2 linked regions of the Drosophila melanogaster genome follow. The protein of the gene in region 2 purifies or fractionates together with the protein of the main gene of each other region. This does not show direct contact. Each region holds a gene or a part of one and is shown on either strand. Other genes may lie near its edges.

What was found.
Region 1: the proteins of CG11095 (region 2) and CG8728 purify together in Drosophila melanogaster (affinity purification with mass spectrometry, with the first as the bait; one large-scale study listed by BioGRID). This does not show direct contact.

Annotation. Positions count from the first base shown.
Region 1 is NT_033778.4:7,929,943-7,946,764, forward strand, and holds CG8728 (uncharacterized protein), read right to left. Parts: upstream 9,173-16,822; 5' UTR 9,014-9,172; coding exon 8,958-9,013; intron 8,874-8,957; coding exon 8,495-8,873; intron 8,434-8,494; coding exon 8,017-8,433; intron 7,961-8,016; coding exon 7,820-7,960; intron 7,767-7,819; coding exon 7,262-7,766; intron 7,202-7,261; coding exon 7,029-7,201; 3' UTR 6,924-7,028; downstream 1-6,923. Other genes in the region: PIG-X (phosphatidylinositol glycan anchor biosynthesis class X), read right to left, coding at 39-447, 510-658, 718-868, 912-934; rnh1 (ribonuclease H1), read right to left, coding at 1,187-1,282, 1,343-1,613, 1,669-1,904, 1,957-2,013, 2,066-2,407; drosha, read left to right, coding at 2,574-4,095, 4,154-6,478, 6,543-6,679; CG30380 (uncharacterized protein), read right to left, coding at 9,311-9,616; CG30379 (uncharacterized protein), read left to right, coding at 10,014-10,065, 11,042-11,271, 11,323-11,928; CG14764 (uncharacterized protein), read right to left, coding at 12,693-12,946; CG34430 (uncharacterized protein), read left to right, coding at 13,500-13,661, 13,722-13,955, 14,135-14,533; CG34431 (uncharacterized protein), read left to right, coding at 14,896-16,822.
Region 2 is NC_004354.4:13,802,959-13,818,556, reverse strand, and holds CG11095 (uncharacterized protein), read right to left. Parts: upstream 6,874-15,598; 5' UTR 6,799-6,873; coding exon 6,512-6,798; intron 6,446-6,511; coding exon 5,881-6,445; 3' UTR 5,687-5,880; downstream 1-5,686. Other genes in the region: Clic (chloride intracellular channel), read left to right, coding at 3,671-4,180, 4,572-4,682, 4,752-4,829; inaE (inactivation no afterpotential E), read right to left, coding at 7,384-9,276, 11,893-12,025, 13,082-13,105, 14,136-14,263, 14,330-14,434, 14,507-14,648, 14,707-15,231, 15,290-15,598.

The sequences.
Region 1 (16,822 bases), on a different chromosome or scaffold from region 2:
CCATCGCTGACTTTGAATCGCACCGACTTCGTCGCCTGTTACTTGACTTTTTGCTGCAGAAGTCGCTGCTCGTTGAGGCGCTGATTGATGCGTCGCGTGTTGGCCATCGAGTGGATGATGGTCCACAGGGCCAGAGACCAACCTAGCAGGATGGTGCCGCACAGAACTGGACCGTAGGCGCTAGCATGGCCTACCGGAATCTCGGCACGCAGCGGCATCTTTAGCTGGCAGTCCACGTGCACCCGCCTCCAGTTGCAGCGCTCCAGATTAGCCATGGTCGTGGGTTGGCCATCCTTGATATGGTTCTCGTCGAAACGGCTTTCCGGCGCATTCAGGCAGTACAGCTTATCGGGCCGGGCAACCAACTCGTTTTCGATGAGCGCACTATCAGCCATCGGGCAGTTGAGATAGAGCTCGGGTAGGGGTATGGCCACCGTTGCCGCCAAACTGTGAGGATTAATTGATTAGTCTAGTGGACGAAAGCAATTCAGACTTCAAGATCACCACACCGCTTATCACTGGGGGCATGGTAGCGAAAATGCACGGGCAGAGCCAGCGATTCCGTAATCTTTGGTGTACCGCGCAGTAAAACGGAGAAGGGCTGCGCCCGTTCCGTGGCTACTTCAATGTTGACGAACTTAGGATAGATGGCATTTAACTGGAGACGAACATTTTTTTATATAGTAACCCTTGTAACTAATTCCCAAGATAACGCACCCTCTTCAAACGCTGCAGGTCATCCAGTTCGTCTGTGCTTATGTAAACGGATGCGGGCAAATCCTGGACCAGCGCATACTCGCAGTCCTTGCCCACCAAGGGTATATCGAACCGCAGACGGTAATTAAGGGTCCTGCATAAACATTTATCACTTTAATTCAGGTAATCCATAAACCGCTCTCCAATATAAAAACCTGTGCATGCCGGCTTTTTCCATTTCCACGTGAACGATAGGTGGTTCGACTACATAACAATGTCCCGCGCCTCCCAGTAAGCCCAAAACCAAGGTGAACAGTAAGCACTGGTTATTTCCCTTGGAATGCATTTTTTGCAAACTAACTTATATTAAAAGCGACTGAAGTAAATTGTAAATAAAAACATTTGGACCAGGGCTGTCGCGTAACTAAAATTTATTCAGCGTTGCCATATCAATTACATACTAAAAATACGGTAAATTTAAAATAGCTTTTCAACCATTTTTCTGCTTATACAAGGCGGATCCTTGCCGCGCCAATTTGTCTGCCATTTCATTGCCCTCTATGCCCTTGTGGGCCTCCACATAGTTCTGGGGATATTAACTGAAGTCAAGTATTTTCCAGGACCTTATTTAAATTTAGTTACGCACCCATTTCACGGTGATGTTGTTCTCCTGAAGCAGTTTATCCAGTTCCTTGAAGTCAACAACGTTTTTAACAGGCTGATTGTTCTTTAGCTTCCAATCCCTTTTTTTCCAACCCGCAACCCACAGCGTTATGGAGTTGATCAAAAACTGAGAGTCTGTGCTGATGCACAGCTTCTGTATTCCCAAGTCAAGAGCTGTTTTAATGGCATGAATGGCCGCTTGTATTTCACCTACATTATTTGTAACGCGTCCTTCCACGGGCTTGGCTGCGTTTCTGCAAAGAACATATAGGTTAAAAGCAAAGTTATTGTGCTGCAGTTACCACTTACAGCTGGTGATTCTTGCCGAAATAAACGCCATAGCCGGCACAGGCTCCGGCTCGTCCGTTGCCTATGCAGGAGCCATCTGTGTACACAATGACATAGCCCTCTGCATCGATTTCAAACTGGAAGGCACCCACTTGCTTGAGTCCTGTGGCTTCTGAGACCTGAGAGGCATGACGTGGGATCTTGTTCCGCTTATCGCCGCTGGTTGTGCCCTTCCGCTTGCGATTGAGAATGTCTGGCTGAAAGAAGCTATGTTTAACTTTTTCTACAGTATGTACTACGGTCTCATACTAAATTGCTACTGTTAGATGGCTTTGGATCTCCCTCAACCTCGTTCATGGCAGCATTCTGAAAGGATGAAAGGTCAGGACTTTGCAAACGTATGTATATTCATGCCTACCAGATCATCCTCGGCTAGGTCGTGATCCTCTTCGGGCCACTCATCTGTGTACTTGGGGTTCTTATTCACTTCGATACTGTTTTTCCAACTGGCCAGTGACGCCTTTTCCTTGCCCAGCGGCACGGCCACATCCTGCGGAGCATACGACTTGCAGCCATTAACGAACTGATCCGCTTCCTGGCGTGTCTTAAACTTCTTGTATTTGGCGTTCTTGAAACCCTTGACCTGCTCCTCGCACTCTGCCCAAGAGCCGTAGACTCCAGACCGCCGCCCACTGGCTACAGCGTAAAACGCCATCGTGCAGCGTTGGAGGTTCCAGCAAAAATACCGCGGAAGTAACATAATTTTCTTACGTTGTCTATCGAAACATATGTGGCACGGCCTTGCCGGATGTGCGAATGTAAACAAACCGGTCGAGTTGCCAGATCATTCGAATCGCGGTAAAAGGTGTGGGTGGAAAAAAGTATAATTGTGGATTTTGCCAAAGATTTTCCCAAAACTTTTCGCCATGTACCAGCCGCCTTTGCCACCGCCTCCAGTCCAGCCTGCTCCTCCGCCCCCGCCACCTCCGCCAGAAGAAGATCTATCTCCACCGGGAGTAGGTGTTCCCTCTCACAACTATTCTTCAAATGAATCCCATTCTCAGAGCTCGAAGTCTTTGGATTACGTCTACCCGGAGACACCGGCTCCTTATGCCAGCTCAGTACCTAGCTATGATCCGTACCAGCAACCACCAGCGTACGGCTACGAGGGATATGCTTACAACGAACAAGCACAGAAGTATGGTGGCCAGGAGTCCCATTACCAATACCAGTACCCGGCATCCGGATCATCATTCCTCTATGAAAGCTATAAATACCCAGACCGCTATCCTGCTTATTCGTCCAACTACCGACCTCCATCCGAAAGGCAGAGGTACACTTCCAACAGCTCCAGTCAAGGCTACCACCATTATCCCGGCTATAGCTCGGGTAGGCGGTATGAACAAAGACATGATCAGGAACACCGTCAAATTCAGGACAGTCGATATGCCCACGAGCCACGACACGGACACTATGCCCACAGGCAGGCAAAGGGGTCGCAACACGGATACTATGGATCTGCAGCCAGAAACCAAGTCAGCGATGACTATTCGCCACGTGGCCATCACGAAAGGGAGAGAAATGAGACCTTAGAGAAGACTAGGGCCAAACCGAAGGTGGAGACCGAAAGGGACCGTCTGTTGAGACAGTGGTGTTCTAACTTCTGCGAAAAACCAGAGGACTATGTGAAGAAGATGAACGCCCTCAGCGAGGCGGATGCGCCAGTCGAATCCTGGGTGCGATCATCGCCAGCGGAGCTCTACTACGAGCGCACCAAGAGCGAAAACGAAGTCAGAGGTCGGGCGCGTCTGCAAAAGCTGTGCACTCTATTCGATGAGGAGCTCCTGCAGAGAGCAAAGCGTGTACGCGAGAAGCTACCCGTTTACGTGCCGCCTCCAAGAAAGGCTCGCCGCCGTGTTTGCAAGCATAAACACAAGTCGGAAGCCTGCTCCTCGTCCTCCTCATCCGATGACGACTCCGACGAAGACGCTTTTAAGATCGAGCAAGACTGCTGCATGGAGGAGCTTTCGCGCAAGGTGCAACATCCGCAGCGTGTGCACGCGGATCTCTGGCACAACGACGCCGGTGAGATGAACGACGGACCTCTTTGCCGCTGCTCAGCCAAGTCCCGGCGCATTGGCATTCGACACGGCATATATCCGGGCGAGACTGGCTATAAGTTGTGCGATCCAAACAGCAACAATGCAGGCAAGCTGTTCCACTACAGGATCAGCATCTCACCGCCCACTAACTTCCTGACAAAGACACCCACCATTATCAAGCATGATGAGCACGAGTTTCTATTCGAGGGCTTCTCACTTCTCTCGCATGTGCGTCTCTCCGATCTGCCCGTCTGCAAGGTGATCCGCTTCAACATCGAGTACACCATTGAGTACGAAGAGGAGAAGATGCCAGAGAACTTCACCATCCACGAGCTAGACATTTTTTGTAAGTAAAATTGAGATTTTTCTTTATAGGCATTACTTACATCTTATCTCAATTTCAGTCAAATACCTGTTTCATGAACTGCTAGAGCTGGTAGACTTTAATCTAATGCCCAACTTACCGTCCGGAAACGTCGAGGAATCCTGCCCAGCTTTTCACTTCTTTCCGCGTTTCGTCCGCGACCTGCCAGATAATGGAAAGGAGGTTTTGGCCATGGTCGAGGTACTCCGCTACTTGCTGGATAATTCTGCACAGCTTGTGGAACGGCAGCAACTACTGCATCTTAACCAGATTAGTCAGAGCGAGTGGCAAAACTACGTGGACTTCATAAAGGGAATGCTGGTCACCAAGCCGGGTTATAAGCCGTGTTCGCTACGCGTTGACCAATTGGACAGGAATAACTCCGATTTGCCCGAGTGCGTAGATCGCGAGACTGGAATCTCACATCCAGCAATCGTGCACTTTGGCATTTGTCATCCTCAGCTAAGCTACGCTGGAAATCCAGAGTACCAGAAGGCGTGGCGAGAGTACGTTAAGTACCGTCATCTGATGGCCAACATGTCGAAGCCCTCTTTCAAGGATAAGCGCAAGCTAGAGGAGAAGGAGCAACGTCTTCAGGAGATGCGAACTCAGGGGCGCATGAAACGAAATATCACAGTGGCGATCAGCTCGGAGGGCTTCTATCGCACCGGCATTATGTGCGACGTTGTGCAGCATGCCATGTTGATTCCTGTCCTAACTGGTCACCTTCGCTTTCACAAGTCGCTGGACCTGCTAGAGGAGAGTATCGGGTACCGCTTTAAAAATCGGTACCTTCTCCAATTGGCGCTGACGCATCCCTCATACAAGGAGAACTACGGTACCAATCCGGATCACGCCCGTAATTCGCTGACTAACTGCGGAATTCGTCAGCCGGAGTACGGAGATCGCAAGATCCATTACATGAACACACGCAAGCGGGGTATCAACACATTAGTGAGCATTATGTCCAGATTTGGCAAGGAGCATGAGACTGTTTCGAACATAACCCACAATGAGAGACTAGAGTTCCTCGGTGATGCTGTAGTAGAATTCCTCAGCTCAATCCATCTGTTTTTTATGTTCCCTGAACTGGAGGAGGGTGGTTTGGCCACTTACCGAGCGGCAATTGTCCAAAACCAGCACTTGGCTCTGTTGGCCAAAAAGCTGCAACTGGAAGAGTTTATGCTGTACGCACACGGATCCGATCTGTGCCACGAGTTGGAACTGCGTCACGCCATGGCCAACTGTTTTGAAGCCCTAATGGGCGCGCTTCTATTGGATGGTGGAATCAAGGTGGCAGATGAGGTGTTCACGGATGCACTCTTCCGGCAGGACGAGAAACTGCTGAGTATATGGAAGAATCTGCCGGAGCACCCGTTGCAGGAACAGGAGCCACTTGGGGATCGCAGCTGTATTGATTCCTACCGTGTGCTTAAGGAGTTAACCAAATTCGAGGACTCTATTGGAATCAAGTTTAAGCACATTCGGCTTTTGGCTCGCGCTTTTACCGATCGCTCCATTGGTTTCACCCACTTGACCCTTGGGTCAAATCAGCGTTTAGAGTTCTTGGGCGACACAGTGCTGCAGCTGATTTGCTCGGAGTACCTATATCGTCACTTCCCTGAGCACCACGAGGGCCACTTGTCCCTGCTACGATCCTCATTGGTCAATAATCGCACTCAAGCGGTGGTTTGCGATGATTTGGGAATGCCGAAATATGCCGTGTATGCCAATCCCAAGGCTGATTTGAAGACCAAAGATCGTGCCGATCTGCTGGAGGCATTCCTCGGCGCCCTGTACGTGGACAAGGGTCTCCTGTATTGTGAACAGTTTTGCCATGTATGTTTGTTCCCGCGACTTCAGTTGTTTATCATGAATCAGGACTGGAACGATCCCAAGTCGAAGCTGCAGCAGTGCTGCCTCACACTTCGCACAATGGATGGCGGCGAGCCGGACATTCCCTACTACAAGGTGGTGGAGGCCAGTGGTCCAACTAATACGCGGGTATACAAGGTGGCCGTTTATTTCCGCTCAAAGCGGCTGGCCACTTCAAGTGGCTCCTCCATTCAGCAGGCGGAGATGAACGCCGCTAAGCAGGCGCTGGAGAATTCAAGGGACCTGTTTCCCCAACTGGATCACCAAAAGCGCGTGATCGCCAAGAGCATAAAGAAACAAACGGGCAACGAATTGGACAACGACAGTGATCGCCAGCATCAAGAAGAAAAAATCAAGCGGCCCAAATATGCGACACCGCTTCAGGATGAGAGCCATCTTCCTAAGCAATATCGCATGCACGAGAACATTTCCAGCGATGAGTTGCCGGAAGACGAAGACTTCGAAAGCACTGCTCCCAAGAGTCCAACAAGTAAGTTAATAGATACGGTGTGCTGTGATTAATAGGTATCTATAGGTATCCTTTTCGTTTCTAGTGCCCTTAAGAAGTAACAGAAGTGGCAGTAGTAGCAGCAGCAGCAGCAGTGATAGCGATGGCTCAACCTCTTCTCCGAAGTGCAAGCGCCGATTAAAGAAATGTTCCTCGGTGTCTTCAAAATCTTCGCTGGGATGAACAGCTTTGCGTATGCTATAGCTATAGGAGGCCCAAATTGAGTAAGACAATCGTGGGAGCGGTGTAAAAATGTAATGGGTTATCTTAATGAATCGCTCATTTAGTAGATGCAATTCTCCCCTTTGCTATCAGGACATCTTACTTTCTAAGTAAGATGTTAGAGGACAAAAATTTGCCTGTCTCTAATTGTCGCCTAATTAAAAATACCATTAAAGCAACAAATAAAATAACCGAGTCGAATTTTGGGAATTTTGGTTTTTAGCCAATTTAAACTTAACACGGTTGCCCTTCGCACAATATTGTAAACAAAGCGAAATGATATCCAATGGAGGCGGTCTCACACCCAGCGCTATTTGAACAAGGAAAGCCTACGTCCCAGCCCGGTACGTCCTGAACCACTGACCGCGTTGGTGATGTGGCTCATCTCGGGAAGATTGTGGATGTCGCCGCGGGCGGCCACAGAAGGCGGCGAGCTCAGGAGACGTTGAGCAACGCGTTGGATATCGGCGGCAGTTACACTTTCTGTAATATGAATTAACGAGTTAAATGATAGCATTAATTGATTAATTAAGATGCTTTTACCAATTTCCTTGATAAAATGCTGCGGTCGTTTTCGCTGCCCCGTCACCAGCACTTGGCGGCCCACGTCCTCGAACACAACGGGTCTCGACTCCAGGTTCATTAGTAACATGGACTGAAGCTGGATCTTCGAGCGCATTAGCTCTTCACGGCCTGGCTCTGCGGCCATGCCCATCATCTCGCGGGTCAGGACCTCGACCATGTCGTTCATGTGCTGTGGCGGTGCGCTACCGTGAACACAGAAGAGACCACAATCGCCGTAAGCATGATTGTAGGCCGTGGCGCTGTACATCCAGTGGTAGCGGTTTAGCACCTTGGTATACAGGCGCGAGTACATGCCCTTGCCAGGACCGCCTGCGGAGAAGGATCCACCACCGCCCATCATGATATTCAGGACGCACAGGGGAACGAAGTCCTTGTCCTGGTGGGAACAGCCTTCAAATCCGAGAATTACATGGGCCAGCTCTGGTAGCCCAGCGGCCGCATAGATTGGGATTTCGCATTGTTCCTATGGGCAGTTCATGTTTATTAAGAAGTTAATCAAAGTATTATTGCACCCACCTTTACTAATCCGCCAGTGTATTGTGCAATAGACGTATCTACTTGCTTAGGTCCCGAGTCCTCCAGGGCTTCCGTTTCCCAGATGGCTTTGTCCTCCACAAAGTATCTTTGCACATGGCTAACCAGCTCATCATGATCCACCTGAAAAGATATTCTTTAACTGAAATCCGAGTACAAAAGAGATTTTTTACACTTACGCCTACACCAGCGATGACCATGCGCTTGGGAGAGTGATGGTACTTAAGGTAGTTCATTAGCACATTGCGGTTTATGTGGTCCAGGTTCTCAAGGGGACATAGCTTGGGCAGGCCCAAGGTATTGTCCCTGAATGCTGCCGCGTGGATCATGTCCATCAGTATTGGCTCCTGCTCAGGCCGCATGCCCAGTGTCTCCAGCTCAAAGTTGACGGCCCGCCTGGCCAGACTCACCTCCTGGTCGCTAAGTGTGGGCCGCAAAGTGACGTCCGCCAGCAGACGCGTCACGGAATCAATAGCCCGGCTGTCGATGCTGGCGGCATAAATGAGCGTGTCCCGCGAGCTCTGACAGTCGCAAATGCCTCCGTTCTTCTCCAGCTCCTTAAGTATGGCGTCCTTGTTGGGAAAGTTGACTGTGGACTTTGGAATGAGTAGACGGATTAGCCGAGATCCTACATTACATAAGCGCAACTTGGCTCACATTAAAAGCTAGCTTTTCGAGAAAGTGCGACACGCCGCTGGGGTAAGCGACTTCGTAGCGCGGCCCGGAGTCGATAACCAGGCCCACAGTGCAGAACTGTCCGTACCGCGGTTCCGAGGCAATCCGCAGACCGTTCGGCAGCGTCGTTACCTTCGTAATGGCGCTTTCCGCCAGTGGAGCTGCGTAAACGGCCTCCGGCAGGTTGGGCAGTGGCTCGGTGAGAGGTGGCAGGTGGGTGACAATCTCCTTGGAAGGCGTGTTCACTTTCTGTGGCCCATCACTTGTACGCACGCCGCCGGTGATCTGTCCGATTCCTGTGCCACTGCCCACCTCGTCGCCACCCAGACTGGTCACCTTGGTGGCCATAAGGCGTGGAAACCTGCATTGTGTTTGGAGATAGGGCACTTATTAGATTCGCCGGCTCCACAACAGCCCACTTTTCACCACTCCGCGAGATTCTTACGTGCGCCAGGTGTGCCTGAGCTTTTTCAGCATGCCGATGCTGCGCCCGTTCATCATGTGTTGGTGATTTGGGTATTATAACGGTATTTACAGAATTATGTGAATTATATTTGAATTTGATTCAGAAACACATTTTTTTACGCTTTTAAACGAATGAATTTCGAAGAAAAAAATGTTGATTTCTTCTTCTTGTGCTCTAGACATAAGTGTCAATCACACGGAATATTAGGGCTGCATGCCTGGCAGGGTTGCCAGCTCACTGCAGTTCGATTTACCGTTGAGAAAATAGATCGTTATATTTTCGTTTTCAAAAAGGGGCTTTATTTGCGAATAATACAGATTTTAAAAGCGGAACTAATCGAAGTTGAAACGCCTCTTGCCGTCGAACCTATAGCCATAGGCCGCCGCGTTCTTGGTGTCCACTAGCGCTGGGTTCCGGTGCTTGAAGAAGCTGCCATGTCCGTGTGCGGGTCGCGATGCGCTATTGGGGATTCCCTCCACCTCACGGGGATAAAAGGCCTCGAACATCCCCTCCGGTGGCAGGCAGCACTCGGCTATCTTAGGATCATTGGGATCGTAGGCAGCCACTCTTCCTGGTCCCGAAAGTACGGTCAGCCCGAGCACAAACAAAGCCTTGAGCAATAGCGCAGTTACGCTCATTATCGCACAATTGCACTCACACGCGGGCAATTAACTTTTACTTTTAGCTGACGGAACCCGTTTAAGTCCGACTTCGTGTGCCGGTGGCTTTTGTGAACTGAAGTGATATTGACCAAACGATGGTGGATATATGAACACATATTGGACCTACATACATATGTAGGCATGAAAGCAGTTGCTTAAGTCACCACATGCGAAAATCAGCCGCTATTTCGCGGCAATCGCGAAAACTCTGGCACCGCTGCCCCGAAATAAAACCGGCATCTCAGTTTCCATTCCTCCGGCTTTTCTTCAGTTCGAAATACGGATACATACACTACTTATTTTTCTTATTAGTTCCCTAATTGGGCTCTTAAGATTGCCAGTCGCCCTTGGAAAAAGACCAGACGCGGCAGACATGGATTCACCTAAAAAAGAAACAGGATTCCTCGATAAGGCTTCACTGTACGGTAAGATCTTGAAGTTAAAAATAGAATTAATGAAAATAATGTGTTTTTTTTGTGTAGAAGAGCTTATACAGAAACCTTTTCTTAGATATACAAAAAATCAAAAAGTTTATACGAGGATTAAATATATATCTAGACTTGTAAACCATTTATTTCGGCGTCTGTATGTGTTAGAACATAAGCGGTCTGAGTTGAACGATAACTCATATATGTATGTATGTAAACATGATATCCCAGTTGGGACTCATTGGAGAAATTCATCTACATTCAATGTATTATTTATTGGATTAAAAATATATATGTAAACTTTTTAAATTGTTTTAAGAGCTTTATGCTTGATTAGTTGCTTGCTTAAATAATAAACGAATGTTTGTTGTTCACTAAAGAAGATTTACGTATGAATAGCAAGCAAAACAATCAGCATGTCCATTGATTCAGATTGTATTATATATTATAAAAAAAAATTTTAATCTTTAACTTTCTATTGACCTAAGATATAAATTAAATTTTTCTCCAACAATTTGTCTATTCGGACCATTCACTAAGAAGTTATAATAGAAAGAACTAGTCGCTAGGTGGAGCCACTTATATACTTGCTTTGCTGCTGTCATATTGGAAATTCGAGTTGCAGTGACGTATAAAAGATGGTCTAGGTCCTTGAATGTAGCATACTCTTTGGCTATATGTTAAACCTAGCTCACACTCCTTAAAATTGTATTACATATATAACTCTTTTGCAAGGTTGCATTTTTTTGTTGCTAGATATTTTATGACATTCCAAGCAATTCAAAATTTGATTTAATTAAGTCGATTTTGTAAGACCCATTTCCTTTAGTTTGGTCTCCTTTATTGTATTTAAAACATCATTCCATCAACACACTGCAGAAATGTTATTATAAGGCTTAACTTATTAACTTGTCACGATTCCTAATATTAAAGTTTAACCTTTTTTATTTTTATTGAAATGAATTTTTTGCAGCGTGGTTTAATTTTGTCCCATTACCTGAAAACTCTGACCGTTACCCACCGATTTCTTTGTCAGCCCCTCCTACGGAAAACGAGTCCCAGGACACGAATTCCGATCCAAAAGATGGCGAACACTTGGTCGAAAATGGGATGATTTCCCATGATTTGATTGTTAAAAGTAATGTATTCGAGGATCCCACTATACGCATGGGATTCGTCCGCAAGGTTTTTGGAATCCTTTTGGTGAGATAGACCGATTCAGTGGAACATTTTATATGTATGTGATTCTTGCAGGCCCAATTACTGTTCACGTTGGCTGTGATAGCAATATTTTCTTACCACCAACCCACCAAGGACTTCATGCATGAGAACTTCCTTCTAGTTCTTGTCGCCATGATCGTTAACATTATCGTTTTGAGCACAATCGTTTGTGTGGAGAACGTGCGACGAAGGCATCCTGTTAACCTGATTTGCCTCGCTCTTTATACCTTCACCATGTCGCTGCTCCTGGGGACCGCATCCAGCCAAATGGATTCCAATGTGGTAATCTCGGCCGTGGCCATTACCACACTTCTAGTCATCGCACTTTCCATCTACGCCGTGCAAACCAAATACGATTACACAGCTGCTGGAGGGGTCATATTGACCTTTGTGATAATACTCATAGTTCTATCAGTGTGTGGTGTTTGGATGCCCGATTTCGTAGACAGCCTGCCAATAACTTGCCTATGCACCTTTATTGGCTGTTTTTTTTTAATCGCCGATATGCAGTCGATAGTGGGCGGCAATCGTTCGGAACAGTTGGATCCCGAGGAATATGTATTCGCGGCTCTCACTCTGTACGTCGATGTGGTTCGCATATTCATTTACATCCTTCGAATTTTGGAAAAATTTTATTAGTAGAGCTAATCCTAGTCACAGCTCTTGAAAACAATGTATGCTGTTCTTCTTCTCAAGCTTTTGCAGATATAACCACAATCAGCTTTACAAAAAAATGTCAAAAAGTGCCGTTAACAAACCAAAGATTTCCCTGATATTTAGAATTGGCGAAGCCAGAAAAAGAATGTTACTTGGTATTCGTAATTCAGAATTTTATTAACTTACTTTTTGGCTCGTCTTGTTCTAGGATAGTTAAATTACATTTATATTTATATTTATATACTGTATATGTTTGTCTACGCGTGAGTAACTATAAAATACAATCACAAAATGTATGCCATTTGATGTTTTTATGTATTTACATTTGGGATAGTTAACTAAACAGGGGCTTTTACACATATCGACTCTCGCAGCAAAAACACGGGGACATTAACACAGATTTTCATGTATGTATATTTCATTAAATAAGTAATTAGGGCTGCACTAAATTGTAATAAGTATTGATAAGCTGCACATAATTACGCTACGCTTAATTACTGTGCTGTGTCTGTTCATTTCTGATCTTTTCTTGGACGCCAAGTCATCTGTCTATATCTGTTCAAGTGGGAATCGGTTACCCTTTATCTAATTCACATCAATAACTCTCATTTCCTTCGATATTCCTAGTAATCTCAGTTGGCTCCGTCACCGCCTGAGTGTATCCGCTTGTGTGGTTGTCGGTAGAAAAAGTTATATCAAATGCTTTGGCCACGCTCTCGTCCAGTTCGATTTTTAGGTTTCCCAGCTCAGTCGTCCGTGAAAGGATGGTCGGAGGTTTCGCTGCTGTTGCGCCGCCTGCTCTCCAGTATACGGGTCGCCTGCTCCAGGCTTTCCTTGTAGAATATGTTACGCGGACTGTCGCCGGGCAGCGAGTATTCAGAGGTGTCCATTTGGAAAGTTAGGCCCAGCACGATGTTGAAGGCGGACGCATCGTAGCCGTGGCAGCCAGAGTATCGGAACATCGGCTTCTTGTTGAACTTGCAGCCATTCGATTGGGCACCTAGTAATATAAAGAAAATATTATTATACGTTTTACTTTGCTCCGCTAGGATACACAAAATATATAAGATTGGAAGCGAATCTAGCCCCCGATTTTTCCTATGCTACACATCAAGTTTTCTATATTTAATCAACAGGGAAATGTAAGGTCGAGTGCACCGACTTTTGGGTACCCTTAACACTGTTGAAAAAATTCAAGGGAGGCGGAGATAAGCTAGTAGCAAATTCCTTCATAGCTTCCGAAATTCTTAAATATATGAGTTATATAGTATATCAATTTAAAGCAACCATTTCCATGAGCATTTATTTGAGCCCTTTTTCTACAGAGCGCACAATTCATAAAAAAAGATTACTGTTAATAATGGCTAATCAATATGTGTATATAATCGAATTATTTTAACATTTTTTCTTTGTGATTGTATGGGGTGTTTATGGAAACAGAAATGAAAATGGAGTAAATTAGATAAACGATTAACTGGAAAACTGGCCTTATCAAATAGAATAATATAAATGGACATTAGGCGGCGGTAGTGTCAGCTCAGTATGATGATGAAATGGACGCGGTATTGGTAGTGGAAAAATCGGAAGTCCCGGGCATCGCTGTGCAATGTGACCTCCTTTTGCCCAACGGTCATTTGCAAAGGACCTATGAATTCGACATAGCCGATGTTGGAATCCGACGGCGCCTAGTGCGCCGATTCTACGGCATATTAATCGTAGGTTATACAGCTTCCATTTTCAATTAAAAAAGTAATGTGGTAAACTCAACATTGCAGCTACAGATGGCCTGCACCTTGCCCTGCATTGAGTTGTTTCTCAAATATCCTTTGCCATACAACTTTGTTATGCCATTATCAATGGTATTCACTGTTTTTCTGTATACGTGTTTCTACGTTTGGAGAGATTGGAGGAGACATGGGCCTTTCAACTACTTTGTACTGCTGCTGAGCACATTGATTGGATCCTTCAATAGGAGCGTATATCTACTTAATTTGGTGGAGACACATTGGGTAAGTCAGAGTTACTCCATTAGGACATCACAACACATTTGGTTTAAGTGAATAAACTTGAGTCATGTACGGAGATAGAATAACTTTGCTATCTGTATTAAAGTGATATGACTTCTTGATTGCATGTATATACTACTGTTAATATATATACTGTTGATTACTTATGTTTTGTATTGCAGGTATATATTTATCCAGTCATTCTCATTATTGAAATCTTGGGTCTAATGCTGTATTCCTCCCAGAAGCGTTTTCGGTTTACCCAGATTCGCGGAATTTCCATAATCAGCCTCATCTTTGGGCTGTTCCTCCTCCTGGCCTACCGACTGAACCGGATGATGGAGGTCTTCTCCGCAATGGCCTGCACCGTGGAGGCGTGGTACATAATCTACGATACACACTACATGCTGTGCGGCCGACATGGCTACAACATTGGACCAGAGGAGTTCGTCTATGCAGCATGCAACATACACTGCGATCTGCCAAAGGGAATGTGGCGACTGATGAAGATGCTTTTCTTCAGCAAAATTGTCGAGGCCGTTCGCATGTTCCGTGAATGCTTTAGGACCGAGGTATGCTGATGGCAACTTAGTTGGCTTGAAAATTATTTATTTTTTCGGTTAAGTACTAGCTGTCAAAATTCTTCAATAAAGCCATTCTATCTCAAAACATGCCAGTACTTTTTCAAAGCCTATCAAAATCAACGCTTAGTCCAACGCTTGGAGCCAAGCAGAAAATGTTGTTGAGGCATGCTCGCAAATATTTTAGCAGGGCCAGGATAAACGCTGGGTCAGAATACTATAAAGTACCCCCAAAACTTGTGAATGCAAAATTGAAACATCTTGCCACACCTTTGGTTTCTCCTAAAAAGGGCAGGAATTTACGAGATTCGAATACTCCGAAGTGGAAGAGCTTCAAGATTCACATAAGCCAACTGACACAGATGTATACTCCTAAGGAGCGTGAGTTGAAAAATTCAAAATCAAAAGAAATTGTCCCTAGAGCGAGCGGAAAACAATTAATTGACCCAATTAAAATCGAAAAATACAAGATTAAACCCCCAATGAGTCGTCCTGTACCTACAGCAACGCATTTAAGCTCAAGAGCACCTGTCGTGGGCCTTCTTCATGGACTAATTAGCAGGTTTGTCTTTACCCAAAAGCGAACCAAAAAACTGAAGAAAAGAAGTCTGCTTAATAATCTCCAGCCAAAAAAAACGTGTAAAAGGAGCATCGTTAACAAATCTAAACTCTTCAAATTTCCCTTAAAAGATCAAAAACGGAGGGAAAATAAAGTAGATAATAAACTGAAAGAAGTTGTTTCAGTTATGCAGGAGCTGGGCGAGTTTAAGGGTATAAAGACTCCCAAAAAGATGACGGAGAAAATGCATCGAACTATAAAGAGCTTATCCCGAAGCGCCCTTCACTTCCCAGCCGCGCATGAAAATCTCTCAAAGTACAAAGTTTCAACAAGAGAAATACAACGCGATACAACATACCCTACTGAACCATTGAAGACACTAGTAAAGAGAATCAAAAGCACCGAATTTAAGAATGAAAATCTATCAAAGTACAAAGTTTCAACAAGAGAAATACAACGCAATACAAAATACCCCGCTGAACCATCGAAGACAATAGCAAATAGAATCAAAAGCACAGAATTTAAGAAAGGAAGTCAACTTAATCTCAAGCCTAAGAAAACGTATAGGAGGAGCATCGTTAACAAATCTAAACTCTCCAAATTATCATTACAACATCAAAAACGAAAGAAAAATGAAGTGGAAAATAAACTGAAAGAAGTTGTTTCAGTTATGCAGGAGCTGGACGAGTTTAAAGGCATAAAGACTCCCAAAAGGATGATGGAGAAAATGAACCGAACGATTTTAAAGAAGTTTTCCGGAAGCGCCCTTAATTTCGAAACCTCTTTTGGAGATCTTTCAAAGTACACGGTTCCAGCTAGAGAAGCGCAACACGATTCAACATATCCTGCTGAATCATCGAAGACACCAGCAAAGAGAATCAGAACCAACGAATTTAAGATGACCAAATCATCTGGGAACAAAGGATTTGATTTTAAGCTAGGCAAAGGACTTAAAATCCACGACTATGGCTTCAAGAATCTCAAGAAGGGAGTTTCAAATCAAGATACTATCCATGATTCCAAATCACACACACCAAGGGAGGCAGAAATTATTTCTAACCGCAAAGCCTTCCGTACCATGGACACGAATCTGAGGAATTTCACTAGACAAACTGCTACTAACATCTTTCTTAACGTTGACAGGCTGAGTGACAAAAAAGTTGGCTCAAAGTTAGAACTTTTGGAGCAACTAAATCGATTAGAGACCTTAAAACACGGAAATAGCGACAATTTTGAGTACTTTGAGGAATCTGTTTCGCCGTTGGGCTATGAGATTTCTGAAAAATTAAATAGAACATTTGCGTCGATCAAAAGAATAAATCAGTCCAGGGCGAATGCAGAACTGTTTATTTTAGACGACAGAGATTCACCCATGGACTTTTTGACTTACGATGACTATCAAGGAAAGTATGTTCCCTTGGCCGAAGAGAAACCCCAACCACCCAATCGTCGAAGAAAGAAACGATCTAAACGACTTTTCGTTCCCAAAACTGACGCAGGTACACAGACTGAATGCGAGTGTGAAATTTGCTGTTCGTTGCAAAAGTATAGGACTGAAAAAGTATCACCTTTGCTAATGGAAATGACAATGAAAAGAAATTTTTTGAATCAACGACAATACTATATGGAAAATCTCAAGAAAAGAAAGTTAAAAGCACCTGTTTCAGAAAAAAGGGAATTAATCTCCATAACTAAGCCCAATCAAAGCGATTGCGAAGCGAAACACAGAA
Region 2 (15,598 bases):
AATGTTTATAACTTCCTTTCGTAACTCACATCGTATATTTTTTATGACTTTTACTTGCCCAACGTTTTTTCTATTCTTTTGATTTACCTGAATTAAGTGCAATATGCTTCTTAATAATCCATAGCTTATGCTTTTATAAGATTTAAACGTAATTCTTGAATACACCTTGGCATAGGTTTTTGGGGGGGAAATGCGAATAGGCATTGGAAAACCCATTAGCCCATTAAAAATTTGTGGCCCAAGATATGCCGGCTGACTTCACCTGCCATGCGACCACTTGGCCTGATTATATTTCTATTATTTTGGCTATTACTTCATCAGGCCCCATCATCATCACCAACAAACTGCGGCGATAACTTCCGCCGCCCAACTTTTGATAAGATATGGCACATACATACATACATACATATATGTATCTGTGTTTTTATGTGGCCCAATAGAAAGAACTCCGGCATTCAAGAATCGAATCGACGCTCTTCTCAAGGTTGACATCTGCCCCCAACATCATGATCATGATTAAAATTAAATTATTGCGCTGCAGCTGTCAGCGAACTGGTTCCCAAAATAAAAACAACCCATCCCCAACCCATAGAAACAAAAAGAACAAAAATATAAATAAAATAAAACATGACTGTGGCATTCACTATTTCCAACAATTTCATTTTCGTTTACATTTACGATTTCTGTTCGCTGGCGCAAAAAGCTTACGAATTTCATTTTATTTGACTTAACTTAACTTTTCCGCCCTCCTATCTTATCGCGCCACGAATTTACAATTAAAAGGAAAACAAATCGAAGTTGTTGAGTGTGCGTACATATAAATATATCCATGTACGATTGCGTACAAAATAATAGGGCTTAAAATTACGAACTTTGAAATACCATAAAATTGTTTAAGCATTTTTACCAACACACGAATAGTTAGTTAGTATGCAAAAATCATGGTCGATAAGATGGGTAGATTAATCAACTTTAAAAGTTAAATAAATGAAAAATCTATGATTTTCACCGCCTCTGTGGCTAGTCAAAAAAAAAGCAAAAACCACAACTTATTTTTCTAAAACGAAAACGTATTCAAAGACGAACGTTTATATTGGCTAGGTATTTATTTAGCCGGCAGTTTTTATTAGCCAGATGTGGCCATATAAAGTATATATATGTACATATATTTGAAGCATATGTACGTGAATGGCACTTGACATTTGCTAACTGCTTTTTGGTCTGCCTGCTCTCGTCATTTCTATTTTGAAAAAGTCAATTGCAACCGCCGTCTATGTGTCTGTATCTCTATCTGTAAATGTATCTGTATCCATAGTTTTGCCATATACTTTGTATCTGTATATGTGTCTGTAGCTCAAGATGATTGCCTGACTGACTGACTTCGACTGACCTTTCGACGTTGCCACACGTCTTAGTCTTGCATTTTGCAATTCCCATTTTCAATTTGTGCAACTCATATTGCAAACTACAATGCTCGCTAGAGATGGCAAAAATATTGTAATGCGATATTATTAGCAATTAATGGCAAAAGCAATAGTTTTATGTAAAAATTTCGTACTTGTATTCGCCAACGAAAACCGATTGCGCTTAGCTGTAGAATGTATTGCCAACAATTAGTGCGGCCTTAAAAAATCGAGTCAACAAAATGCGGGCCAAGAAAATATGATACAAATACGAGCGGAACGAATATGTGCGACGGACTGAAAGTAATCCGGGTCAGTTGGGAATTTATGGAGCTTGGAGCTATGGGCTATGGATGGATGTGCGTAGACCAGGTAAACGAACGTGCACAGTTAATAATGTGCGAAAGAATACAAATGAACCGTTTAAGCACCGCGGCGGAATGAAAAAAGATACAAAATTATACGAATACCGCTCCCACAATCATTGTAGTTTATTTTTTGTTGTTGTTGTTGCCTTTCATAGTTTGATTATGCTGCGACCATGTGGGCTGGAAAATGGGTTGGGTTTTTTTTTGGTTTGGTTTGGCTGGGTTTCGTTATTAAGCCATTAACACACAGGGCAATGCTAATTAACTTCGCATTCGAAATAATATTTTAATTGCCTGCAATTGGTGCGTTAAATTGAATTTACAAACCGAAGTTAACTGTGGTTAATTATTGCGTACGCCTCGTTATCATATTTATCACTTATTTCAAATGTGTATTTGGCAAGTGTTGAACCGTAACCATATTTAACTCATAACCCCATAACGATGTGGTTGTATAAAAATAGATATAACCATATACTTATAGATACATACGTATCCGTGTAGTCACAAACAATTTAGCTAAATTCATGGATTCGCTGTGGAGTTTGGAGAATGCCCCAGCTCCACGACAACCTCGTTCTTGAGCAGCCAGTAGATTTGCTAACTCTCTTCAGTTTCTGTGCTGTAGTGGCAAAATGTGTGAAAACAGCAGTGCAGGCTGGCTTATCTAACGAATACAAATATGCACAGTGCCATATAAACGCACATTGATTGCCGCCTGGCGTTGGAGCTTATTTGAAGTTAAGCCGGCTGTCGACGCCAGCAGAAATGGTTTTGCGGGGGGGGGGGGGAGGGGGTTAAATATGGGCAGCAAATACAAAAAAGGCTGGCAACGGCAATCAACAAGTAAACTTCACACACCGCACGCCTGATGACATCATCGTCATCATTTGTGTGATGTGTTGTTAGGCTTTAGCTGCTTCTCAGCTGCAGCAATGCCATCGATCTACAGTGGATATTGGCTAAGTAGAACCGCCAGGTTGCAGTGCGAAATTCAAATTAATATATGTACAAATCATGCTCATATAAATTCCATTTAAATTTACTAAACTTCTTCATCATATCCACAATCGCATAAAAAGATTAAAGTATTTCCGCCTTTTGTTTTGTTTAAAACCACTGGCAGCTTTAAATAATCACGTAAATAGTCAGGGTGTGCTAAATATGCTTAATCTGTAAATACTTGTGATATCGGCGGCTGATATTGCTGGAATGCAAATGCAGAGACTTGACTCAACTTAGTCAGTGCTCACTGTAGCCTGTGGCGCTGGCATTGCCTTGCCGTCTCACTATTTATCTTCCCATCTGTGTAGCTACAAATGTATCTGCCTATCCTCCACTGGCCTTGGCAGTGCAGCGATGCAGAATTCTCGTCGGGCTTGGCTAGTATCGTCGTCGTCCACTCGACGTCGCTTGTCTTGCCTTTGGATCGCTTCCGGTCCCCCAAAAAAAAAAAAAAAAAAAAAAATGGCGAGCAAACAAACCTCGATGGCTCATCACGCCACGCTGGGCTGTTGAACAACGCAGAACGTTTATGGTTATGATGATTATGATGATGATGATGATGATGATGATGTCACATGATCATAATGGAAAACTATGTTGTCTTATTTTGTTAAATTTCTGTTTGATTTGCGTTTATCAGTAATTGCCGGCACGCGATGTGCCATTATGTGTCCATTAAGTGGACTGGAGGCAATGTCCAATCGCTGGAAAAATGCCCAGTCCCCGGAATGTGACCCACATTAACACTTGATGGTATCGCCGCAAAGCCAACTTATCGAAATGGCCAAGTAAACATTTTCGCACCCCTCTCACTTTTTGATTAAAAAAAAACGCTTGCTTTCCCCGAATCCCCGAGACACTAAATTGGTTAACATTTTCCGCTTCGATTTGCAGGCCTCGACCATCGACGGCAGGCGGAAGGGCGCCTGTTTGTTCTGCCAGGAGTACTTCATGGACCTATATCTACTGGCCGAACTGAAGACGATCAGCCTGAAGGTGACGACGGTGGATATGCAGAAGCCGCCGCCCGATTTCCGTACCAATTTTGAGGCCACACACCCGCCCATCCTCATTGACAATGGGCTGGCCATTTTGGAGAACGAAAAGATCGAGCGGCACATCATGAAGAACATACCGGGCGGCTACAATCTGTTTGTCCAGGACAAGGAGGTGGCCACCCTGATCGAGAACCTGTATGTCAAGTTGAAGCTGATGCTGGTAAAGAAGGACGAGGCCAAGAACAACGCCCTGCTCTCGCATCTGCGCAAGATCAACGATCATCTGTCCGCGCGCAACACGCGCTTCCTCACCGGCGACACCATGTGCTGCTTCGACTGTGAGCTGATGCCGCGCCTGCAGCACATCCGTGTGGCGGGCAAGTACTTTGTCGACTTTGAAATCCCGGTAAGCAGTGGGGGTGTTCCAGGGTATCACAGCCACAGCAGGAGTAACTGCATTATCGTATTTGCCAATGGATTAGTCAGGAAAACTTTTGCTGATAAAGACTTTATTTGCGAATAGAAAGCAGTGGGCAAATATTGACTTAGTGGCTTTGTGACTTTTTGCCTAAATGATTAATAGCGCAAGAATGAATGTGATAAGTTGTATTGCAATATAGATTTAATAGCAATCTAAGGCTAATACATTGTATAACTTTGATTGTGAATGGGCTTTAAATCATTTTCGTTATTGCCGCTCGAAGTCCAATTATAGCCATCAGCTACAGAATCGAATGAATAAGCCAACCCGACCAGGTATCAATGACTCAACGTTCTCACTATCCGACTCCTTGCAGACGCACTTGACGGCCCTGTGGCGCTACATGTATCACATGTACCAGCTGGACGCCTTCACACAATCGTGCCCGGCCGACCAGGACATTATCAATCACTACAAGCTGCAACAGGTGCGTAACTTGCCATTGTGCCAATTTTACTGGGCTCCAATCTCTAGAATCTCCATTTGCCGCTTGCAGAGTCTCAAAATGAAGAAGCACGAGGAGCTGGAGACGCCCACGTTTACCACATACATTCCAATTGATATTTCGGAGTAGGTTTCCTATGGAGCAGATCCATGCAGCCACACCACACATCAACTAATAGTATACAGCAATCGCAACCACAATATTTTGGACAATTTTACAACAGCAGCAACTCTGAGGACTATACATAGATGTATACTTAACGGATATAACTACCCATGCATATATTATATATAAATATATATATAAACCTACTATATATAACAAGCATAACAACAAGTGTTCTTTAAGCAGCCGCGTTGCCTTTCTTCAGCTATGCTTAATTTAAACCCCATTTGGAAAAAAAAAAAAAGAAACACCAGCCACAATCTATCGAGAAGGCTTTGACTTACTTGGCCCGCCTGCATGTTTGTTTGCTTAATTAATATTAAAACATTTGTGTTTGACATACAGATGTCCACAGGCAAACGCATGAATATAATTACGTAGCTCGCTGTCAATTAAAATGTATCGATCGCCTGAAGGAGCGCTTCCCGTTCCTTTAAAATGTTTATTTTAATTTATAATTTTTTATTCTGCAAGGAGCTTTTTTGTTGTATTCGAAGACAAATCTTTTTTTTCTATTGCAAAATTATGATTTTGAATTTTTTTTTGCTCCCTGGCGAAAGTTTTCCATTTTGTTCGCTTTTAATTTTTATTTAAATATTTTATTTTATCATAACAAGAAAAACAAAACAAAAAAAAAAAAAAAGAAAATTAGAGGAGGAAATGAAGAGTATTTTTTGTATTTAAGTGAAAATTACAAATAAAAAAAAAACACAAAAAGACAATTATTGCCTTTTACTTAACATGTTCATTTCATGATAAGCCTTATCAAAGATATAAATCATTAAATGGCATCGTCTTAGCTCGAATAAAGAGCTCCTCTTCGATTTCAACATAATGGTCAACAGTTTTATTATAAATCTCTCCGAGAATTAACAATTAACGCGTACACTAAAACAAAGAACACCATCAGAATTGGCCAATTGTTCGGTTCGAGCGAAGCACATTTGGCCCAATCACAGTACCAGATTGTTGCTAGCCTGAGTAGGATTACGGTCGGCGGATCGCGGATGTCTCGTCAGGTGCGCATCGAGGGATCCCCGGCGGAGTGCTCGCGATGATGCGGCAGCTTGGGCGGTAGCTTAAAGGGCCGAATGAACTTGATGTTCGTCTTGAGGCAATCGGGCAGCAAATTGGGTGGCAGCAGGCAGTGCAGGAAGAGGTGCGTCAGATAGCCGGTGATGCCCCAGATGCGATAATGGTCTACAACAAATACTGGACCGCTGTAGCCGCTACGAAACTGTGTGTGCCTGGTGGCCTTGGGCAGCATTAGCGAAGTGAGCGGCACACTAAACGCCTCCTCCACCTCCTCCCAGTTGAGACGCAGCTCGGAGAGGCTAAAGTCCGGCACCACGCCCACCACTGGCACAATCGACGAGGTCCTCGGCAGCTGTAGCTGCTTGGCCTCGCCCCACACCTGGATGCGATGGCGCGGTAGGCCGATCTCCTCCTCTGTTTCGCGCAGCGCACAGTCCACGTAGCTCGAGTCGTGATCATCGCGCCTTCCGCCCGGAAAGGAGATCTGAAAGCTGTGGCTGCGCAGGTGTCGCGATCGTCGGGTGTATAGTAGGGATATTTCATTCCTGAAAGAGCAAAGCGATGCAGCTTATTCAAATGGTCGCATTCCTAGTTTAACTGGCTATACTGACGTGCCGCGCTCCTGGCAGAGGGCGATAAGAACCGCGGATGTCTGCTTTTCCCGGCGACTGGGCGTGAGCGCCTTGGGACGCGGGAATGCCGGCAGGCTGCGCATCTTCTCCATGCACCTGCGCTGCGATTCCGGTCCGAGGAGCTGGTCGGCAGTGATCGACTGGTCGACATCCGGCGGTTTCGAGGACGTGGCGGATGCGGCGCTTGAGCAGGAGGTGACCAGATGGCGGTTCAAGTGCAACAGTAGCTGCGGCACTGTGCGACTCGCCTGGGCAATCAGGGACATCGTTTTTGGCTATAGAACACCGAATCGAGCAATGATGTAAACAAATGCGAACGCAACGAACTTTGGAATTGGACAAAAAACCAAAACAGAGCCGTTAACAGCCGATAGTGTACTGTTGTGCGCCACAGTGAGCTGTTAGCGGTTAACAGTGCGGTGAACTCAACCACTTTCAAAATACCATATTCCAACTAAGCAAAAAACCGTTACACTTTAAAGTTTGAAGTTTTTTGTGCCATTTTCCTAATCAACGACATTACAGAGTATTCATTTTTTAAAACGTTTTATTAAAATTTCTCGTCGCTTGGGGCTTGGCTGCACAAAAAAATATATATTTATATATCTGTATATAAATATACATATTGCATTTAGTTAATAGTAAACGCTTGTGTGTTAATGCTAAATGTTGTTCCTTAGGTAATCGGTATGCAAAATGTTAGATTCCTTGTGAGTTCCTTTAATTTGTAATCAACTGGTTTTGTGTATGTATCGCTTGTGTGAAAGCAATGGCAACGGCATAATTGTCGACTTTGGGCTGAAATCGCATCTGTGTGTCCAGGTGAAGGTACTGCTTGCAACTTACAACTATTAAACGTTACTTTCGTTATTGCCGGCAGCCTGTTTGGCTGCCAATCCTCCGGCGGCCACGCGCGTGCGGGTAAATTTACTAATGGACGTGGGCGATGCGGAAGCGGAGGCGACAGCGGCAGCAGCGTCCAAACGGAGACTATTCCCGGCCGGATAGACGCAGCCCTTGGCCCGACGTCGTCCCGCCGGAGAGCCGGTACACCTATCACCGATTTGTACTAGGCTAGGCAGATCCTCGCTCCGGGAGAAGACGAACTCCTCGGACGAGAGCCGTTTCCTCACCCGGCCACCAACCACATCCGGTCGTTTGCCATTGCTGAGCGGCGATGGTGAGGCTGGGGCCACCAAAGCCGGTGTCTCTATCGCGCTGCCACCGCCAAGAACGGGAAAATGCGATTCCAACACGCCGGGCCGTATGAGTATCTCCTCCAGGTGGTTGCCAGACGCCCCAGTGCCACCGTTCTGCCGAGCCGGTGTGGCAAACTGTTCCAGCGATGAGCTGGCACTGTAGAAACTAGTATCTGTGGAGCCCAATCCCATGGCGGCACCACCACAACCCCCGGAAATCTCTGTGCCGCACTTCCCGTGCTCCGAGCGAGTACAGCAGCCACGCTGGACATCCCGATCGCAGGGACAGTGTGGACACAGTCGCAGGCAGTCCGCGTCCGTCAGGATATCGCTATCGCTGAATGTCAACTTCTTGGCGGGCTGCGTTTGCCTCGTCGCATCGGGATCCCCGTCCAGCGGATCGGCGGACTTGGAACTCTGCACCGCATTGGCACCGTGCGGCAGCTGCAATCTCTGTAGGCTGTGGGCCGACGCAGACTCAAAGCTATCGTCGCTGGAGTCCAGACTATGCGCCGCTGGCGATTGATCCGGAAAGATGCGCGGAAAGGTGATGAACACACGACCCAGCCGTTTGTACTGATCCAGATTTCTGGTGTCCTCTGCACAGCCAGCAAGATTCTCGCTGAACTTGGGCGCCCGCCTCATAACCTTGGGCGTATGCAGCTGCGACTCGAAGATGTCCTCGAGTGGCACCTTCGGACCGCCAACGCCCACGCCCATGTGCTGCAGATAGCGCTCAATGCTGTTGGCCAGGCTAATGGGTACGCTGGTTCGCGAGGAGACGCTCGAGATCTCGGACAGCGTTTCGGGACTGGCCAGTGGGGCCAGGCCATACCAGTCGTCGTGCAGTAAATCCACTCCAGGTACCGCACCAGCATCCGAAGCTCTACGAAGGGCCTGGACTTGGGCCAGCGGCAGAGAACGTGGCTTTTTCTCGGAGTGTTGACGACCGAGCATGGACCTCTCCGGCAGCGTTGGCGGCGGAGTGAGCGCCATATCGAAGGCCACCGCCTTGAGCCGTTGTGGTATGGCAATCTCCTCAGCATCCGGTTCCGGATTAACAATCACTGTAGCCGTCGTCTCAGCGCTAATCAGCGAGGGGCTTTGCCGCAGCGCCACTGTGGCCAGGCTGTCGTCCAGAGCACTTGATATGTCATACGGCGTGGTTGCCGAGCTCAGGAGCGACGAGGCCGCCGACGTGAGCCGCGGATTTGGCTGTACACCGGACTGGTGTGGTGTCGATCCGTTGGTGAATGACGTCTCCAAACAAAGCTTGTGCTGGGCGGTCGGCGTCAGGACGAGGCAGTTGCTCAGGTTCGTGTAGGAACTTTGCGAGAGTCGCTTGCAGTGTTGCGACTGCGACATCGAGTTCTGCATCTGGCCGGGATCGGTTCGCGTCTCGAATCTCATGGCATCCGTCGGCGCACTGTGGCCGCTACAATGCGGCGGTTCAAGGTCCATATCGTGCGCTGCTTCGTTCGATCCGGTGGAGAATGCATTCGAGGTCTGGCGCTGCGGCTTGCGTGGCCCACTCGTTGTTACAACCTAAAGGCGAGTAGCGAGAGTGGTGGGGATCAGTGTTTGATTGTACTTGATCATTTAACTTAGATCTATGTTGTGGTCCTACTGAAATGTTAAACCGATTGATTGATTGATAGGTCTGATTTCGTAATATATATATATTTTGTTTTCTTCTTGGTTGGCATTTATACCCTTTTTTTTCGACTGCAGTTATTTTCTCTAATCTATAATCGAAACAGATCAAGCAATCAATTAATCCTGATCTTCACAACTGGTGGTTACATATAAATGCAGAAAGAGACGAGTAGATGTTGCGAGCGAGAGTGGGATGCATGTATGTACAGTTTCACAGATGAGCGAGAGTGGAAAGAGACAGTAGCAGATGCAGTTAGCGAGTGAAGTGGAGTGACTAAGTACAGTTACGTCAAAGTTAAGCGAGTAGGATGTGGGTAGAATTGCTAATGGTTCGATAGTTCGCTGTGGTGAGGTGTGGTTTGAGGGTGGGTGGGAGCTTACGGGTGCGAGACACAATATCGATATTGGTTTTCGTTGTACATACACAGCGAGTACGATTACATTTAGAGAGTTTAGTTTACAAAATTGGATAGGTTGTTGGTTTTTTTTTTTATTGTTTGAGGTTAGGTTGAGAGCGGGAGAGAGAAATATACATAGAGAGAGATAGAGAGAGAGACTTGTAATTCGGTTGACATATTTAAAAATTTTGTTTGGTTTTAACGAGAGCAAAATGGAAAGTTGGTTTAGTCTTTTGTTTAATGATAACAAATTTATATAGAAGGCGGGCGGCTGTACCTGGTATCTGTATTTTGTGTTGTCGTAGTTGTTGTTGTAACTGTTGTAGTTGTAGTTATTGTCGTGTTATCATTACGTCTACGAGTGGTACATGCCTTTACGGTTCGATCTCTACAAGACACGACCTGTGCACATCATCGGATGATCGGGTCACATACAAATCGGTTAAATCGGTATTCGTTTATCAGTTATCGATAATCGTTAAGTTCCATAAAAGAAGCAAAACAAAAGCATAATTAAATACATCAGTGGTTTACAAAAGTTCGTCGCATATACTAACTGTGATCTGAATCAGATCATCAAGGATGGGGTCGGGGTGGAAAAATCGCTCAAGGGATTATCCTATAGCCTGATCCACTACTCTCTCATTGCAACTAGCAGACATACGGGATCGGGTCTCCTCCCAGCTCAGCGCAAAATAGGCAATACGTTTCATCTACCATACTATATGTATTTGTTTTGCCATTCCTTAAGCTTTACAACAACCATTCCCATGCAGCAGATATTTTTAAAGGAGTTGTGTATGGTATATAGTATGATAGGTTATGTTGTGTATTTGTAGTCAAAGCATAAAAGTTGAACTTAAAAAACTTACCAAATCAAATCTTCGCAAAAAGAACTTAAATAAAATCATAATCGATCGTGTGGATATATTGGCTTTTCAAAAACCAAATAATATACTGTTTTCCATCTAGCGGAGCAATTTCTTAAACATCTTCAATCCAACAAGACCGGGATTAACTGGACATTCTGGTGTAGTAATCAAAGCAACTTACAAGAACATGATGTGCAAATACTTAAATATTCACCATTACCGATTTCAAATGTATTTAAAAGCAAGAAATAAATTAAAGAATTAATCATATTCATGTACTTGTACGTAGTACAAGTGTGTATATTCGTCATATAAAAAACAAACAGTTTACGCTTTAAAGTGAAAATATATAAGAGATATTTGGAGAGCGTGATTTAAACACGGAGATTTTGAAAACGAAATGCAAATTACATCTGTTCAACTTAAACAATAAATGGACAAAGCCACATAAACAAAATACAAGTATATAAATATAAATTTAACTTAGGCATATGTGTAAACATTCAAAGTCCATTGTCAATGCCTAACACAGCGATAAATACAATAGAGTTACTGGATTTTGGTTATACGTGTGTAGTGCTGGCTAAGTATCGGTTCCATTCTCTGGACAAACATATCAAAGCAAATTGTTGTTATATATCAAAAACAAAAAGGGCAATAAATAAATATAAACAAATCAATGTCGAACAATTTAGCATTATTGAAATTATAAGCGATAGTTGGCCTTAGACTAGATAACGTTTAACATAATTGAGTTTACATATATAGATAAATAGGCATCATCGGTGTAAATATGCTTGTCATGACTGTGTGGGTGGTAATCGCGTTCGCGTGGCTCTTGTGTTTGTGAGTTTTGGTTGCTTTGTGGCTTGTGGTCATAAGTTTGGCGAACTGCGGATTGCGGTTCACCGTTCGTGACCTCTGACCTTAAGGCTAGACTAAGGGCACGGTATAGTACAGTACAGAACAGCACAGTACAGTAGACGAATCAACTAACTAGATCGGTGCTGCGTACTCTAGATATGTATGCTATAGGGCTATAGTTAAACTATATACGGTTCTAGGACAACGACGAAGACGACGTGGGGGAGGGTGTAGGGGTGTCAACGATCAGTCATTCCATATTCAAATCGATTCCATTGCCGTCCGTCCGTCCATTCGACCGGATCTGATCAACTGGCTGTGGAATAGCTGTGCACCGAGAAGCCGCGCTCGTCGTCGAACTCGGCAATTACCTTCTTGAGGGCGGCGAGAACCTTGTCGGGCATGTGATCCTGCAGCATCACCGGCGAGATGAGCACCTCATCGAAGTCCGTGGAATCGGCCCAGATTGCCTGATATACGGGCTCCCGATTTTTCAGAACATTTCTGCAAAATACACAAGAGCTTTATTGCAATAGTTTACTTTTGGGCTATTTAAACTAACTAAATATCTACGAACTAAGGTATTACACAAATTCCGGCCAACTAAATATCCAATTTAGTTGTCACAGAAAACTCTTTCAATTTGATTTGTTTCAATAACACGTAATCTCTACTTGTCTAATAAATATTAATTGTGTAATCGATATTGGATATCTAATTGATTTATTAGAGAATGATAGGGAAATAAAACTCAACGCTACATATCTATCAGGAATAAATATTTTCATAACATATATAGAGTTCATTAATGAAAGAATTTCCATGACTCCGGCCATTAGAAGAATTGTCTTCATGAACTTTCGGGTCTAATATCATGCACGATCTATCTATCCAAACACAAAAAATTTAAGGATAATAGTCCAGCTCATATGCGAGAGCGAGAGAGAGCGACACCGAGAGAGGGATATAAGGACCTCTTTACAAAGGCAGAATTCTCATCTGAACTCATGATCTTTTTTTTTTGTTCAACCTTCTTTAGCGAAACTGATCTATTTGAGATGAGAGTTCAGCTCGTGTAGAGAGCTTCATTTGAGGCAATGGGACGATGCATGCTTCGGTGATTGTATTGTCTCATGCAACAAAGATTAACCAAAATGGGATGTGAAGAAAGTGTTCTAACAGAATAAATAGATCTATAAAATTCTCAGTCGTTCACTAGTCAACACACAAACCAAACAAGCTAAGACACAAAGAACGTGTGCGTAAGAGAGAGAGAGAGAGAGAGAGAGAGACAGAGGGCGAGCATAAACACGGGCAGAGTGGAATAGACATATGTAGACAGAGAGAGGCAGGAGAGATAGATAGATAGAGACAGAGATTGAGTTGAGTTACGGCAGCGCTGCTCAAGCTCTTCATCTTTCAATCTTTTGGATGCGTGTGCTCGGTTGTATCTTGCATCTGTGCGCGATGCGCTTTGTAGGTGTGTGCGTGTGTAAATGTGTTTCGATGTGGGTGTAGTTTTGAGTGTTGATGGGCTGGTGGGTCTGTGTGTGTGCCTACCTCCAACCACTGTCGTATTTTTGCCTGAAAAACATTTTGGTAACATTATTTTCTATTCTCATTGACTGGATTTCGGGATGGGGTGGGGCAAACAGAAATCGATCAAACACGTTCAGCAACACAAAACATAATGAAACAAGACAAAACCGAACCAAACCAATTGAAACGATAACAAGTGAAAGTAGTCGATGATCGAGAACTCCGCCGACAGCAGGGTACCATTCATACATACATACATGTGTACATACAACATCGTTAACTATCACCCAGCATATATAAATACCTAGATCTTCCGAGTTTTTTTTTTTTGTACTAAATCTCAATGCATTGAAAGATATATTAAAGTAAAATATCTTATAGTCTTGTTCGATTATTTAGTCTAAGAAAAACGTTATAATTTCGCTATCATACTTTTATAATACTTTTCCTGTCTGCGAGTTATGGGCTTTCTCATTTAACTAATATATTTATTAAAGCATGTCTGCGTTTGGAAATTCAATATGGCCCTACATTCTGTTAGTAATCCGCGTTACGGCCAACGAAATCCCCAAATCTCCACTTGTGAACATAATAATTGAAGCAGCACGTTTCGGCCATAAGTCACGTGGGTATGTCAAATCGTAGGCGAATATTAGAGTCAGCCACCGAATAGCAAAGGGCGCGAACTGAATAGAGAGTTCAGTGCCCGTTCCCGATGACGAGATCATCAGCTGTATCTCCACGGATGGGCAAGGCGATAGATTAACACACAAGACATTGCCAAGCGACGACAACACAACTCTGACGTCATTGCGAATGAGTCAGTTGCGGATCAGCTTGACATTTCACTCCATCACTCTCACTTCGTCGATAAGCATTGTTGGCTATCGCACATCAATTAGCACAGACCTTGGACCAGAGGCGCATCTCGTATCGCGAATCAAACAAAAAAACATCAACAAATAAATCAAGGTATGTGGGTCAGGAGGTCGGGTTGCGAGATCGAGAAGGAAACAAATGCGGATGCGGCCAGCTGCGGCACTTATTTCCAGCTCGTCGGACTCAGGCTACTCACTCGTCGGGCTTGGGATGATGTCGCACTATGTGAATGATGCGACCGGGCGGATATAAGGGCTGGTGCAGAGTTAAAGCTATCGAGCTGTCCGTCGGATGAGCGCTGGTCGAACGGGCAGTGCCACGCTCCTGGAATATACAGATAAATACATTTTAGTACGCAGCACAAATGGAATGAGATGTGATCCTAAATACCTCCTGGTACTGATTGATGTGCGTGTCCTGGCCGGACATGTTGACCACGGAAGTGGGTTCGGGTCCACAGCCACAGCAGATGACCGAGCAGGAAATGGTCTTCCACTAAAATAAAAATATGACAAAAATAAAACGTATTAAATATATATTAGAGAGTATGTTGTAATTGTTAATCACCTTGGGATCCACGCTGCGCTGAATGGCATTGATAAGGTCCGCTCGCAGGGCCTCCATTTGATTGAGACCGATGCGCGGCACTACATCCTTGCCCAGCACCACCGAGGTGATGAACGACTTTGAGTACTCCACGGCTGGCATACTGAAATGTAAGCATACGTTTCAATTTGAACCAATACGCAAGCTCAATCATAACCCACCTGAGCAGACCTCCTGGCGGAGAGTAACTGAAGCACTGGAGCGTTGGATGCTCGGGCTTAAGGAGAATGGCGAGTATGGCCGCTGTTCCGGCGCCCAGCGAATGGCCCACCAGCACCAGATCAAAGGTGTGCGTCTGACGGTCCGGATTCCGTTGCAGTGCCCTCTCGATGAGATTCTCCTCCTGCAGCTTGTTGCGTATGTAGATCGCCGCTTGCACCATTCCCTTGTGGCCCAGCCAATCGTCACGCGGCGGCTGCAGCGGCAGAACTTCGCCCTCGGCGTTCAGATCCGTAAGTATGTCCTTCATGCTAAGGGTACCACGTATGCTGATCACAACCGCCCGATGTGTATAGTCGATGGCCACAAAGAAGGGCGTCTCGCCCACATCCACGTGATAGGTGGCGTAAACGATATCGATGTCGCCCAGCTGGAGCGTCTTCTTCAGCGCTGCATAGTTGCACAGGCAGCAATTGTCCTGGATAACCTCTGTATCATCACTTGTACCGCAACAGCAGCCAAAGCATCTGAGAATAATGATATATTTACAATTTTTTTGCTATATGCCACAAGCTTCATACTCACTTCAGTTCCGGCACCAAATGCCACATCTTGCTGCGATTGATGATGACGTACATGGGCCAACCGTAGGCTCCCTGGGCAAAGTACATATAGTGGATGACCGTTTGAAAGAAGTCATAGTTTTTGGCATCGTTGAGTGCTAGGAACTGGGTTCGCTCCGTAATCGGTACGCCGCTGAGGAACTCATAGGTGCCATTTTTGCGCTGCCTCACAATGGCCTCGCGTTCGAGACGCTGAAACTTGCGAAGCAGAACTAATCCGGCCACCACATCCGACGGCACCACGTCCAACTCCCGAAAGAAGTCGCTCAGC